Linked DNA regions of Daphnia pulex. The protein of the gene in region 2 interacts with the protein of the main gene of each other region in a pairwise test. Links are inferred from orthologs where the notes say so. Each region holds a gene or a part of one and is shown on either strand. Other genes may lie near its edges. The genes, in order: heat shock factor-binding protein 1-like and WASH complex subunit 3-like.

The links.
Region 1: the proteins of WASH complex subunit 3-like (region 2) and heat shock factor-binding protein 1-like interact in a two-hybrid assay, tested with the Caenorhabditis elegans proteins (2 studies listed by BioGRID). The link is inferred for Daphnia pulex from reciprocal best matches to the Caenorhabditis elegans genes ddl-1 and hsb-1.

The regions. Positions count from the first base shown.
Region 1 is NC_060020.1:1,196,793-1,204,495, forward strand, and holds heat shock factor-binding protein 1-like, read right to left. Parts: upstream 3,380-7,703; 5' UTR 3,294-3,379; coding exon 3,099-3,293; intron 3,028-3,098; coding exon 2,961-3,027; intron 2,875-2,960; coding exon 2,786-2,874; 3' UTR 2,637-2,785; coding exon of another isoform or gene 2,547-2,636; 3' UTR 2,517-2,546; downstream 1-2,516. Other genes in the region: inactive dipeptidyl peptidase 10-like, read left to right, coding at 1-73, 187-314, 424-575, 689-783, 840-966, 1,056-1,279, 1,343-1,747, 1,816-1,983 and 3 more; non-structural maintenance of chromosomes element 1 homolog, read left to right, coding at 3,732-3,834, 3,903-4,053, 4,114-4,303, 4,371-4,484, 4,568-4,813.
Region 2 is NC_060025.1:877,105-885,014, forward strand, and holds WASH complex subunit 3-like, read left to right. Parts: upstream 1-4,018; 5' UTR 4,019-4,128; coding exon 4,129-4,179; exon of another isoform or gene 4,180-4,246; coding exon 4,247-4,411; exon of another isoform or gene 4,412-4,452; intron 4,453-4,533; exon of another isoform or gene 4,534-4,647; coding exon 4,648-5,025; 3' UTR 5,026-5,140; downstream 5,141-7,910. Other genes in the region: bacchus-like, read right to left, coding at 1,229-1,327; 60S ribosomal protein L44, read right to left, coding at 3,157-3,294, 3,362-3,535, 3,888-3,890. UniProt on the Caenorhabditis elegans protein: Acts as a component of the WASH core complex that functions as a nucleation-promoting factor (NPF) at the surface of endosomes, where it recruits and activates the Arp2/3 complex to induce actin polymerization, playing a key role in the fission of tubules that serve as transport intermediates during endosome sorting.

The DNA.
Region 1 (7,703 bases), on a different chromosome or scaffold from region 2:
TGCAACCGACTCGTTTGGGATTCGTTGGATGGGCAGGGCGATCCAACCGACTTTACGCCATTTATCGCAATAGGTATTTAACTATAGCCATTTGCTTTTGTAACGAGCGTCGAAACTATTTTAAAATTTCGATTTGGAAACAACCTATTTTTTTTCTCGTTGCTCAACATTTTTGGGCGACACCAGAATCTTTTGGACTAGTGATGCCACCAGCCGGAGCGGATGGAAACTACGAGGTGCAAACGACGACCAGTTTCCTTCGGAGCCGGAACAAGACTTTTTCTGTACCGGATTACCCGATTGGACATATTCAGGTTTCTGTTTTTGTTGTTTTGTTCGTCCTTGTGTTTTCCACGACTTTTTGGTTTGTACATTTGTTCGTTTTGACCAGTAATCGTTTTTTTCCCCTTCTACTTTCTACAGAAGGAGTGACACGCTGGCGAAACCTTATGTGGCCGAACGATGGCGGCGATTGGCTAATTTACGCAACCTTGAATTCTAGCCAGTGTCACCATTTGGATTTCATCGAATATTTAGCGGACCGTTCGCGGGCCAGTAGCATTCGTCACGCTGTGGTACAAACAACATTCCATCCTTCTATGTAGCAACAACATGTAGACAAAGAAAGAGAGAGAGAGAGAGAGGAGTTGATGATTACTCATTGGTTGTCTGACTCTTGGTTTGAAAGCCAGGGGGCCAGTTGCCCGAAATCCAGTTGAAGTTGATCCATCTCGAGAGCAATTCAGAGACCCAATTGGCCATCAGCCAGTTGGCTAACCAGAGGTATGACCAGATCCCGTCGAATCGATCAAAAGCTCCCTCATTAATTGGAACGACAGGCAATGGATGTTGGTTCAAGTCGAGTGGCTGGACGCGATTGGCTTCGTGACGGCCTGGATGACCCGCAATCAGAACGAATTCAGAGTGTTCCACTGCCAGGTGGCCGCCGTGCCTGGATGCAGCCAAGTACGTACCCGGGCTTTTCTTTCGTCCAACATCATTCACAAGTTTTCAATTAGCCATTGAGTGGGCCTGCCCCAATTTGAAAATTGTAGATTATTGTCGAAGAAGCTGTCGCTGGACGCTGGCTGGCCTCCCCGTCGCTGTACCCCTCGCCCAGCGGTGACAGCGGCTTCATTTTGGCAATCTCAAACATGGGCCAAGCGGAAGACCAGCGTCTCGTTTATCACAAATCGCCTTGGCACAAATTTGTTTCGGTTGACCTCAACCAATTAGAAGTCAACCGCATACTAGGCTGGGATGAAGCGAACGACACCACGTACTTCTGCATTCAAATCTTTAATTTAGATCGGACGTGATATTTGAATAATTTCCATTTTAGGTACGTGTTAGCCACTCCAACAAGCGAGCCCCAAAAGAGGCATGTGTATCGCGTGAACGGGGCCACGACAGAATGTCTCAGCTGTCAAATAATGGCCGACAATTGCAACTTTGTCGACGCCAAATTCGAACCGAAAAACACAGATTTCTACGAACTGCAGTGCCTAGGGCCTCACATTCCCAGTGTTCACGTTTTGACTGCCGACGACAGTGAAATTCTCGCTACACTTCTGCAGGTTGCCGATGATGGCGAACTGCGAGACCTTCTCGAACATCTGACGCCAACGATCAAATATTTAACAATTCCGCTCGAAAATGGAGGTGTCGGAAGGGTCCAGCTGTTACTACCCCGTAGCTGGAACGAGAACGTTTACCATAAACTGCGCTACCCTCTTATTATTCAAACGTAAAATACATAATTCTCGTAATTTTAAATTTAATAAAGAAAAATAACCTTTGGATTTTTTTTTTTAGCTTGGATTGGAATGCTGGGGACGCCTTGACTGACCAGTGGCGAAAAGATTGGCCCACGTACTTTACTTTAACTCGGCAAGTCATATACGCTAGGATAAGCGGACGGGACAGGTCAAATAAGTATGGATCTCTTCAGACTGGCGTAAATGACCTTCTTACTGTTGTCAAGTAAACGAATCTGACTCAAATCCTTGTTGTTCTGATGATAACGTTATTACATCCACTTGTCCAGGTTTCTCATGGAAGAGCTGAACCACGTTGACAGGCAAGCAGTTGTTCTAATTGGCAAAGGGATCGGTGGTTATCTTGCAACTATGATGATGGCAATGGTGGCCAACGAGGAAGAAGAAATTTTCAAATGTGGCATCGTTATTTCGCCCACTACCGAATGGTCCATATACGGTACGTACTTTTGCACTATAGAAAAATAGCATCCCAATGAAACTATTTGTTTGCTCTACTCAGAGGCAAGCATTGCTGAAAGATACTTGGGAGATGCGTCTGATCAGCACAATTATGTCCTGTCAAAAACAGACAATCACATCCACTTGATTAAAAATGATACAATACTATTAATGGACTCGTTTCCATACAACCCGGTTCAACATTTTCAATCCGTGAAATTCAACTCTCAGTTGACTAAAGCAGGCACTCGTTTCGATTACAAAGTAAGCTAGTCCTAGATGAATGTTCACTCAGCATTTTTCATGATATATTTATTGGAATTTCAGACTTATCCTCAGGCTGGGATTAAGAATATGATTGAATACCATTCTTATCTTTCCTTGGAACATTTCATTACACAATGTCTGCAAAAATGATTGTTAACATAATGTATCATGGTGGTGGATGAATAAAAGTTTATAGTACAGCAGATTCTTTTAAAAAGAATTGCTTACATGGTGCAACTAGTGAATAATGTGCAAAAAATCCAGTATTTCTTGAGGGCTGTGATGTTATGACCAAAGTTCTACTTTGGGGGTCCTTCGACTCCAGATTGAGTGACAAGATCTGCAATGTTCCTCTCTAAATCATCAATACGGTTTCCCATATCATCAAGTGAAAACTGGGGGTTAAGGAAAATGCTTTTGATATAATAAGAAATTTAAAAAAAAAAATTAAATTAATTTAGTGTAAAAGGATATTTCTTGAAAGCACTTGATCCGAAATAGTTTGAAATCTTTCTTGCATTTGCTGCAGAAGAAGTTCAACCTGCATAATTCAGAAAGAAAATGGTATAAATTAACAAAATAAATTTTCCTGAGAAAGTGTAGCGTATTTACATAGCGAGTGAGATCTTGAACGTTTTTTAAATCAGGAGTACTGGACTGTGGATTGGCTGTGGTAATACTAGTCACTGAATCGCGAACGTTACTTCCCGAACTTTCATTGTTACTGAGACTTGCACTCACATTCAGTTCAGTAGAAACATCAGACGGATACTCCGAGCTGGCGCTCAATTTGTTATTATCAGCCATTTTCTCTCAAATCTTGCTTTAAAATAGACTAGACCCTGAAGAGACGCAAGAGAGAGACCAGATTCAGCTGAAAAAAGAAAACAATTGTGACGTTTCCATGGAAACAGCTGGCATTGATTGAGACACTGTTGTCTTTTCACTTTGGATTTATAAAGGTTTATTTTCTCATTAATCATTACATTTTTCAATTCAGTAAATTAATTCATGTTTAATGGATAATTTTATCAATCAATAATTGGCACTCACAATCTGATAAATTTTGTATTCATTTGTTTGGAAGTGGCAATCATTTCACATTTTTTTACCGCTTCATCGTCTGCTCGTTGCCTCGTTCAGTGATTCATCATTTACCGCGAAAATTTCATGAAATCTCGATCCTGCTTTATTTCCATGAAACATATACTTAACCTACCACCCATAATATCCTTTTCGTTTTAAATGGCGGATGAACAAGAAAAAAAACAAGTATTGCAATATTTGCTTTACAAGCCTTTGATATCTAGTAAAGAACTGGAGAAAATTTATGCCACTGTTTTTAAAAGTATGTCCATAAGCTTTTCTATTCAAGTTATCAAACAAATATATATGATTTACCATGACATGTTTTAGACCAGGCACGAGGAAATGAAATCAGAGATCTTATAAAATCCTTAAATGATTTGCTCAAGCCTGCCCAGCTTGCTGTCAAATCAAGGTTGTGCGAAGACAATAATGATGAATATTTCGCTCTGATCAGTTTGATTGAAAGTGAAGCAGCCAAGTAATGTTTTCCCTTTTTGATAAAATTATATGTTTCTGATTAAGTATTTTAAGTTTACAGGCACACATCAGAATTTTCTGCTGCTGAGTTGGACCTATTCAAGTGGATCATGAAAGAAATCATTTCATCGGAAACTGGCTCAGTTTCTTCCACAGACTGTATAAATCACAGCGCAGACATTCCTAAACTTAGCAAAACAGATGCTCAAAAAACTTTGGATAAGTTCTTTGCTGCACAGTGGTTAAAGGAGGTATTCATTCTTTATTTTTATCCTCAATGTTATTTTTATTTTTTAAATTACATATTCATTTGTACAGAGAGAGGGAGAAGTATCATTTACAGTTAGAACGTTGTTGGAGATGGAGCCCGTGTTGAAAAAACTAGGCGACGATCTCGGAGACTGCGTTATCTGCAACAAACTTGCTGTTAAGGTGTGGAGAGACTATTTTTGGCGTATTGCTTTTTTTTAAATTTCTTTTCTTTATTTCTTTTCATTAATTTAATTCTGACGTAGAAATTTGTTTGCCCGGAGACGTCATGTGGTGCGAAATTTCATCGCTATTGCATTTCAAAGCTGAAATTAAAATGCCCAAATTGTAACCGAGTATTGTCCGGTTTGGATGATGAAAATAATCTCTCCCAGACTTTTGCTTCGCAAGCCCTATCGCAAACGCCATCCGCATCGTCCAGCGAAGAGCCACGCCGTAGGAGAAGTGGTGTTAGACGAGGAAGAAGTGCTGTGGAGTCTGACAGCGATTAGGTCATCAGAACTGTAAGTTTTTCATGCATATCCTGTAATTTCTAAACGAGCTGGGGAACCCGAATCGAAGTAGGGCTTTTTCATTGATGATAAAAACTAGTTTTTCCTTTTCTTTGTGTGTCGTTGTGTCGTTATTAACAACCATCCTCACAAATCTTTTAATAGATACTACTCGTCAATTTGTGGGTGTCGAGAAAGCGAGACGGACAGGGCCATATCCGTAAATTCGTTACGACTTTATATAGATAACCATCAAGTGCATCAGCACTTTCTAGGATACAACAGTAACTTCCTCGTAATGGTGGGTGGCTCGTCAAAACCTTCGCGCTTCTGCTTATTAGCCTACATTCCCGTGCTTGATGACCCGGTAGTGTATAGATTAGTTTGACGTAAAATATGAGTCTCTGGTGAAAGCGCCGGCCCTGACGTACGAAGTAGCCTCAATCGTGTCCGATGGACATCCAAGGCCGAAATGTGCAACAAGAGTCTTTTCTCCGTACTACCTTCGCCAGTAGATGTAATTTGGTGTTGTCGGTAATTCAAGTTGATGGAGCTGCGCTAGGAATGTCATCATCTCTTGCCAGCGAAACGAATTTGGCCTAATGTAAGATTGTAAAAGACCTGATTAGCAGACTCAGCGTTGATGAGAAAACGGGGGAGAAGAGGAGAAAACAGATAACATGCGTAGAAATAACAAAAAACCCAAAGAGCACGAAGGAGAAAAAATAGAGCGACCGAATGACGACCCGGGTATGGCCAGGCACGGTCGGCTCTGTCAGGGACTAGTACCGTTAGAATTTTCCACATCGTCCTTTGTTTTTCTTCCCTTTTTGTCTGTTTTTTTTTCTCTCAACAAAGCGCACGCCTCATTACTTCCAATCTCACCTTTTGGCCAATTTCCCATATCCCTTTGCCACCCTTGTGTATATTTGAGTGCTGGTGTGTTTTTTTTCTTTCTTCCGCAAGGCCGTCACATGCAACGATCGAGTCAGCAGCAACACAAACAAAAAAAAAACTTCCCCCGCATCGAATAATAATAAATAAATTTCCTATAGAGTTGAGCATTGGTGACTACAGAACAAAAGAAACCACACTTTTCGGGACGAGTCGCGCTGAACTGTTGAGTGAGAAACCCCTTCAGCTGCTGTTGGTCGCCTATGGTTATACGGTCCAGCGCCAACATCAACAGGTGAATGATAGAGTATGGATTCATCGCATGTAATAACCGCACGTAGGCAGAACCACATTTTTCTAAAACTCGTACACTATACAATTACGCACGGCGACGTGTCCTTTCATCGCTATAGGGACACCTTCTCTAAAGTAAATGTGCTGTGTATAGTTAAGACTTTATGTAGTTAAGCTACATTTATTCTTTCTTGGCTGTTTTTTTTTTTTTTTTTTAATATCCTGTCCTATCGAACTAGAATTCGCCATTTGTGAAGCTGAGAACGGGCCAAAAGAAAACGGCAGCATCTGTCCAATGTGTCACACAAGTAGGTTCTAGTTTGTCCAAAGTTATTTCACGTTCCTTGCTGTGTGCCATTACATTGTTTAATGGTCATTTCGGGTGCTGTCGGTCGTCACAGATGTGATCGTATGTTGCAGTTAGATACGTTCTGTGGGTTTATACGAGCGCATATATTCGACTATTTCATTCTTCTTCTTTTTTTTTGTGTGTGTGTGTCCGGCGTCATCATCCCGTTGGATGGGACGATATAGGCTATACTTAATTTTATTTCTTTCCCTTGCGGCTTGTTTTTGGGTTATTGAATGTAACAAAAAGGGCGGACCATTTAGCAAATGTACGAAATTCCCGTGGACGGTTGAACTGGCCGACTACATTTTGCTTTCTTGGGTTAGATCAGGGAAATCATTTCAATTCATTCAAATTACATTTTGGTATGTTTGTTGGACAAATGCGGGACTTTTTTGTTGCTGTTTTCTGTCTGAACTGGATGGAAATGTTCCCACGATCCCACTCCCGTATACACAATGCAATTGTATTAGCCATTAGTCCGTGTGTGCCTTGCTCAATCCCGACATTTTTCATGTGTCTGTCTCTCCCCTCTTTTCTCAGGAGCCCCTTTTGTTTTTTGTGTCTTTTTTACGATTCATTTTCCACGATTGCGCCATTGCGTGGACTCGGAAAGAGTTTGGTGCACTGCAAACGCACATATGGGTCATCGCATAGACTCGGTCACTAAATGTACAGTACGTAAAACACGATGTACTCGTTTTGTTATTTGGCTACAAAACTGAAACTCCCTTGTGACTTGTGTCAGTTTTGGTGTGGGGGGCCCCCGTCGTCGTCGTCGTCGTTCACCGGAATATCCGTACCCACCAGTCAGAGCACACGAAAGCAGTTGCTTAGATCGTTCCGGGAAAAGGTCACAGAGACGAACTGATGCATCCGTTGCCACTTGTTAGCCCTCTCCCCATCGCTATGTCATGTCGTTTCTTCGTTGTCGTCACGGCGGTGATGGCAGTACGCCGCGGCGCTCTAACGGGTCTCGTACTTTTTCCTCCGTCGTCGGGGTCGTTTCTTTCGTTCTTTTCTCGGAACATTCCAGTGGAAATGTGATCGACTAACCCACAAGTCATAGGTCGACTCAGTCAGGTGATGGCGAAAGAAAAAAATGCCATACAAACCGGAGGGGGAAAAACGATTTACGAAACGCTATCCCATTCACAAGAAGAATGAGCCACACCAGCAGCGCAACAACAAAAAATTCAACCGATTCGCTCGACACATGAGAGAGTCCCGGCCCGCGGCCCTCTACCCGCCTCAGCCGGAAACCCAAAATCACAAGCGTCTATATTTTTGTTGTGAACATTTAGGCGCGACGGCTTGACTGTGTTTCATCACAGTCATCATCAGGCGAGTTTC
Region 2 (7,910 bases):
TGAGCCAGGAACTTTTCTTTTTCATCTGCTCTGCAGCTGCCCCCACCCAACCCCCTTCATCAAAGTCCTCCCACCCAACGGGTGTTTCTTTGTTGTTGGAAGCGGAAGACGACGGTTCCTGGATCCGCGGATCCACGCCAGTCTCGACATGGGCTTCCTCCGACAGAAAATAAAAAGCTAAGACGCTTCTCACTTCACAGCATGCTCAAGAAGGCACGCCATTTTTTCCCCCTTTTCGGCATTCGAATTCATATCTGGAAAAAAGCCTGACATTTTGTTTTTGGCCAAACTGCCTCGAGGTACTAAAACGGTCGAAATGAAAATAATGAAAAATAAAAGTTTAAAAACTGAAAAAGCCACCTGCCGGTTTCTATCAAAATAACTACCTAAAAATGACACGTGAAACTAAACTTGTATCAATTTAATTTGAGCATTTTTAGGCTGTGAAAGATAAACGAGTAAAAACGCTGTTGGTCGCTGTCAAAATGCCCGCGCGCAGTCTCTGCACCACCAACGAGAAATAAAAGCCGGCCGCTTGGCGTCATCGGTTCGATACCGAAAACTGCCGGTCGTGTGTGTGTGACTGGAGATTAACAATTTCAGTGAAAATAAATTCACGACATGTATCAAATGCATGAAAAATTACTTATTAAACATGTCATAACGACGGGACAATGACCTGAAGAAACTATCATGTACAACATAACAAATAAATGGAAAGTTATGTGTGTGTGGTGGAAGGAAGCTAAGGCAGCCCCAGCTTAAGGACAAACATGGCGGCGCGTCATCGCGCGCACACACACACACACACCGGCTTTTCGAGAGAGAAGTGAAAGGCTATCAAACTCAACGGCAACTCTGCTCAACGCGCCAAAATTCTCGAGTCCAACGCTCGAATTCGACTCTGACCAAATAGTTGTCACATAATTTCCCAAATATCTAATGATTACGATCCCTTTTTCTTAAAGAGTAAATATTCCAACAACAGTCATGGCGACGGGATAGAGCGTGGGGCTCAAGCCGGCCCCAGACACACGCACTCAACACACTACACACATACACACACACACACACACAAATGGCGGCAAGCACGCGGCGCGTGGGTTCTCGAGTTGATCCTTAATTTAGCCATAACGAAACCCCTCTTTTCCAACAAATTTCCTCGTTACAGACTTATTCAGAGCCGACATGAAGACAATGTAGTAAATAACAAAAAGATGGAACTTACTTCTGCTGGCCGTTTTGTGCCTTTGACTGCATCTTTCTTGGCGTCGGCGGCGATGACTTCGTCGGCTTCAACTTCCTTCGTTGCTTCCTTGGAACTCATTTTGTTTGGAGGTGTGTTGTTGTTGGTTGGTTGAGCGTGAATATTTAAGTGAGACGAAATCGAGTGGATTTTGCTCGACCGGTTCGAAAAATTATTTTAAAAAAGACTAAGAGAAGATGGAGAGTGCCTTAAAAAAGGAAGTTTGGCGCGTTCGCAAGAGTCTCTGCTTTCGAGGTGTTATAGACGGGACGGTGTAGAGCACACTGGTGGGGCCCCAAGTCTTTGGTGACTTGCATCGCCTTGTATCGGCCTCTAGCGGGGGGGTTGTCCTTAGCCTCGGGTTTTCGGTGGCAAAGCGCGTCCCTTTTGCATTTCGTGGCGTCTAGATCGAATCACAAGACCCCTGTTGTATACCAGCGCTCCAGCTGGATAAACTCCGCCCATTCCACTCTTTTCATTATGGGGAGAGAGGGGGGTAGAGGGGGTGGTAGGGTGGGGTTGGAAAAAGGTACCTTAAAAAACTCGGCTCTCCAAAGAGAACATATAGCCGTGTCGATATATTATATGCGCTGGGCTAGCCACGCTGCTACCCAGATGGCTCTGCTTGGAGAGTCCATTTTTCCCCTTCCTTCTCTCCATTCCTAGGTCTTCCAAGGTATTACCACCAGTATTAAAATATATATATATATCTCTCGCATGTATGCATATATACACTACTATACTATACCGGTATACTCAATGAGTGAAGCGTGGGGTGGTCAAAAAAGAACCAAGTCGAATATCCCCTCAAGCATAGCGAGAAAAAGCCGGTTCTGTGTAGCGTGGTCTCACTCTCGTACTTGGGATTTTCAACTCGGAAACTTTCCCACTGAAATTTTTCGAATTAAAAATAAAACTCTTGTTTTCGAATCGGTTAGCCGAAAGATAAATGAGAAACTCGCCGAAGCAGATTAGTAACTAGCACGTCACTAGACGTCGGTTGCACCACCAGCGTGATTTTTTAACCCCTCTACCGGCCATATTTTTACTGGTTTATATATCATGGGTAGTAGTTGTCTAGGCGGCGGATTGAGAATCCGCGCGAACCAGAAAACAAAGAAACGCTCATCTCACGTCTCTCCCTCATCTCCCGAAAATACCGGGTAGTTGACGTTCTTCCAACTAAAAGATAATAGCCTTATCTTCTCTTTATCCCCTACAGACGCTCAAAGCGTGGTCTACAACTAGATTGTTTGCATCAAACAGATAAATGGAAAAACTCTTATAATTCGTAACCGACTTGTTTATAACACACTTGTCATTTCTTTTTTTTCGAAATTATTTACTCTTCAACGACATTTTTCAAGTATTCTCGTACACTAAGAATGACCGGAAACTCGTTCACACGCATTTTAACAGACGCCATTGAATGCTTCACTCTTTTTCTATTCTTGTTCTCTCGCCATCTACAATCTTCGTTTTCTCTTCGACATGTACACCGCGAACGCGTCAACCAATGACGAAGAGTTTTCCTTATCGCTTTTTAGACGATCGAAGCGTTCAGTCTAACCGTCCGATTGTGGTGTCGAGTTGGAATCATCACTCACAGATGGCGTGATGGGCTTCACACTACTTTTCAAGAGCTAATTAGGATAAAAACTAAGGCAACTCTTAACTACTAAGAGCAAAGCTAGATTTAACTAAAGCTAGCAGATTTCTCACATGAATACTTGGAATCAATTGGTTGATTTTTCACCTAGCAAATATTTGAAATCAATAAATACCCAAATGTCTCGCATGGAGCCATTTCCCTACATTATCATAGGGATTAAGGAAAGTAATGAAGACTAATAACAGACTATAGGCGCCAAAGATGTTGTATTGGCCAGCACAAGGTGATGACAAACAGTCTAGAACTGAATCATCTGTCCCTTCCTCTTCTTGTCACCTCCAAGTTCAAAGTGCTTGCAACGCTTGAGGGGGATCTGCTTGCGGACTTTGCATTCTGAGCACTCCATCCTCAGGACAATCTTTTTAGTGGTCTTGGCCTGCGTAATTCAACAATGAGAAGCATTAGTACACAATTCAAGTGAACCAATCTTTAAGTCTTCATACCTTCTTCCTGAAAATAGGTTTGGTTTGACCACCATAACCCTTTTGTTTTCTGTCGTAACGACGACGACCCTGGGCAGCACTACGCTCCTTGGATTTCTTGTACTGCGTCACTTTGTGGACCTTGTGGGTCTTGCATTTTTTGCAGTAGGTGCGACGACTCTTTGGTACGTTCACCTAAAACGAGATCAACAAGTCATGAGCCGGTGTTTTCGACAACAAATTATGACAGTTTAAATGCACAACATACTTAACAACCACATACTTACAACTACAAAGAGAAATTTACACCTTAAACTTTTAAGTAATGCTAGTATTAACAGTCAAAATAACATGTCTAGTCAAGGTATCCATATGACAGACAGAGTGACAAAACAGATTTTATACCAGTCAAACGAAAAGTCTACCAATTGACACAGAATGCTAATAAACATCATCGAATTCTACTGCAAAAAGAGATGCTATATAAACATATAAGATGGTTAAATATCAAAGGATGTTGCGAGATATTAAATCGACGAGACTATACCATTTTCGGACGAACAGGCGAACGAAGTGGAAATGAGACAGAATTCTCTCCTCCGGATTGCAAGTGAACAACAGAGTTGCCTTGTTCCTCAAATAATTCGACCGCTGCGCCTGAAGGGGATGGATTCTGTGTCGTCTGCTAGAAGAAAAACAAAACAATCAAACGCGACATTTATCCCATGGATGTGATTTAATAATTCGTATATTCCACGTCGTTCTAATCAAGGAAGAAATACTAAGGGATGGAAAATAAAGGACTACCTTTTTTCGGTCCTACTGTCGAGTTCTCTTCGGTTCGTTTGTATTTTTCATTTTCGTTTAAATTGGATGATGGCAGTAACACATTTTAATGTTTGACAGGTTCCGCCCATCGAAACTAAAAGAATTTTGAGCTATTTCAACCAGTTTGTTTCCAATTCAGTTCAGTTACTAAACAAATTTGCAATTATATGTGATACCAAATTGCTGGATCTCAACTTTCGACTACAAGATGTTGAAGCCACATTAGCCATTCTCGAAGCAAAGGTAAATTCCTTCATTTAAACATTTCAATTCCACCAGCTCTTCTTTAAAGATGCATAAATAGGGAAAATTGGTATGAAATTAAATTTTCATGAGAAACAAATTTAGATTAAGCAAGACCATACCTACTCAGTTATTTAACAATACATGTCGAGCCAACTCACTCAAGTGTATCACTTTGGGGTATGTTTATCATTTATAGACAATGAATGGCTGATTCTTTTTTCTTTTGAAAACAGTTGGCTTCAGTTCCTGCACTGGAAACTACTTCAATACCGGCCATCCCACCTACAGTGCCTGCCACCAGCTCAGAATCTGTACCAGTGGCTGCAAGCGTTCAGATCCTTCCATCCGCCGTTCCACCAGTCTTTCCTGAAGATGTTTCTAGCGTCCACCAGACGGCGGTGGCGCCTCCGAATCCCGAAATCCTTCGGTTCGTCAAAATGCTTGCCTTTGGGGTTCCGTTAATGGCCGTCGAGCAGAAAATGCGAGCAGAAGGTTACGATCCATCGCTGCTCAACAGCGGCAAAGTTGACGTCACCAAGGCCCCACCAGCACCGCGATCAACCCATTCGAGCTCCGACGACGACGAAGAATCAAACAGCGACGACTATTAACACAAATAACAATTAATCATTTTCCCCGAGACTTATGAAATTTCAGTCTTATCGTGCCTGTATACTTGATGCATGGAGAAAGGATTCCGATCATACATAGACATAATCAATTCTCGATCGACGGTTGTAACCGGAGAGCCTTGATGAGAGAGTCCGAACGCGTGATGATTTATATGTTTGGCCCCACGTATAGACAATATACCACAACAACAACAACAACACTCTTGAATAATGCATGTCAAGAAAAAGAGTCACGGGCCCAGCACTCAGGCCGATTGCCAAGACTCGTACGTCCTTGAGAAAAGCTTCCAGTTGTGCGTTAGACGGGAGAGATGATCTCTCCGGACAGCCCACACGAGGATCCCGACAGCCAACCCCACCACTCGGCAGATCCAGCAGTTTCGACGTATCAAAGCCCCCCCCGCATATTGATTTGACAATGACACAAACAGGCCTCTAATATCGTGTTAGTGCTGCAAATCGTCGGTTGGGTTGGTTTTTTTAAATTTTTATTTTTTTTTTCATCCTCTCCCAGTCGAGTCAATAAAATGAAATGCAACTAAAAAGGGGTGGTGTATTTTTAGATAACACGGACCCGGCGAGTTTAATTTTAAAACAAGCTCGTCGCCCAGCTGTACACCTCGGAACTCTGGAGAAAAAGAAAAGAAGAAACTTGGAGCTCTTTTCTCCTAGAGTCAAACATTTTCCACGAAACCTATACACACACACAACACTCTTGGATATCGTAACATAACATTCAAATGTAAACATTGGTCTCTTATATGTATAGGTCCGAGTGGCAAGAAGAGAAAAACTTTGGCCCATTTGGAAAATAACAAGAACCCCATTTCTTCTAGCTCGCAGAGTGTGTGGTGTGGGGGCATCCGGCGGGCAACAGTAGCAGCCCATTGGACCCGATTTTGAGTTTCTTTTCTTTTATAAACGGAGACCGTCGACGACTAGCGTCCGTGGCAGGAGCGAAATGTGGAGCACGGCCGTGCTAAACTTAGAGCCTCTTTTTACCTAGCGACTGACTCACGACTCTATTTGTGTCGGTGATGCGGGCGCGGTGGGTGTCGATCGTCCCGACAACTTCAAGACAAACACACACACACACACTTACTTACTTGTACACACGATATATACTGGCTTGATATGTTTCAGCTGGGCTACAAGCGTGTGATTCATTTGAAGCCCAGGGATTGCTGGGAGAACTATTCGATGAGTCTTAACGGACAACATTTGAACGTTGATACGCACGCACGGCGTCAGCGATGAGCCACACCGCAATTTTGTTTTTGCTTTTCTTTTGTCCTTGGTGGCTCAAAGATGTGTAATCGATCCTGGAATGGACCGCGTCTATTTTCGGTTGGGAAAAATACAAACGAGAAGAAGAATGAAGATTCCTGATGATCTTTTTGTGCGCGCGGGGGTTTTAGATGGTTTTAAAAGCGATTCAGGAGCGATATCTTTGATGCTCAACACCTACTTGGGAGCAGTCGAAAGGAGGAGCCCTGCAGGAATTGAAAAGGATCTATGGGATCCAACCTTCTATCTCATATTGAGGTCTAACAAATTCTTCAAAGGAGGCCACACCAAAAATTCAAAGGCCAAGAATATCAGACAGCTCATTAGCTAAATGGCGGCTGACCCTTTTGCGGCGGTGTCCCGAGTGTGTGGCACTTTCCAGCTGGCACGGCCGGGAAATGGCTTTTTGCGTGACCCCGTCCCTTGGCTGGCTGTTGGCGTGCCATCTCATTTCCATAGTGGTTCCACAAAGGAGCTGATCATCTAGCAGGACGGGGGGGTTTCGTCATCGCGGGAGAGAGAGAAATGCTTCTCGTTCCAGGCGCAACTTTCTCAAGTCACACCCACAATTTGTGCGTCTGGAATCCTTCCGCCGGTATAGTAGCAGCGTCTAGCCGGCCCTATATTTGGGCATTGGTCGAAAAGGATATTTTTTCGGAAGATTTTTTTTTTGAAGAACGGCTAGGAGCTGCAGAGAATCCGGGCAATATCACGGGTAAACGGTTTCCCCTATATCCCCCCTCACTCCAACCGATATAACTCCCGCAAACGCACGCGCTCTCTTTGACGATGACATTTGTCCGTCCCCGGGGTGACAGATTTCGTCTCGATCGATCACGTCACAAGACCCGCGAGGGACATTCGCCCGCTGGCACTTCTCCTATCGCAAATGGATAACAATTTTCTAATAGGGAAAACATTTTGAAGCGCCTATATAAGAACGCTCGCGCTCTGATGCCGTTTTCTCATCTTCAAAAGTCCCGCGCGACTATTTTCGACAGAAGAAGAAGTACTACACAAGAAAATAAAATAAAATGTCGGCTGTCACCGTGCCCTCGTCCGTCGAGGTCACATTCCTTTGCCCGCGTGCAAAATTTAAAAAAAAAAAAAAGTTTCATTTTATCCCGGTTCCGACCGACGACCATCCCGCGTAAGTTGTAGCGATCCTATATCCAACACACAAGGCGATGATTCACGGCTAAACTTAGAAAATGCGGAGAAAAAATGTGCATATAGCATCATGCACACACGAGGTACTAATATCCACTCTGTATTTATCGTTTGGCCACACGACCCAAAAAGAAAATCAAAAGACCCGCGAAAACAATTCAAAAATAAAATCATTTGAGCCAAATAAGAGCAAAGCAGCAGCAGACGGTTGGAATCGGGCGTGACGAATTCGTCACCTCTCTTGTTGCCACACGCGCCGAAAGGTAAATAAAAAGATGACACACGATCTCCCGTTTCGTTTGGTTGGATGAGGGCAGTTGCTGGAGAAGAACTAGGCCGTCCAGATGAGAAAAATAATAAAGAGTTACCGATTTGCTGCTGAGCGGAGAGAGAAGCAAATGTCGGCG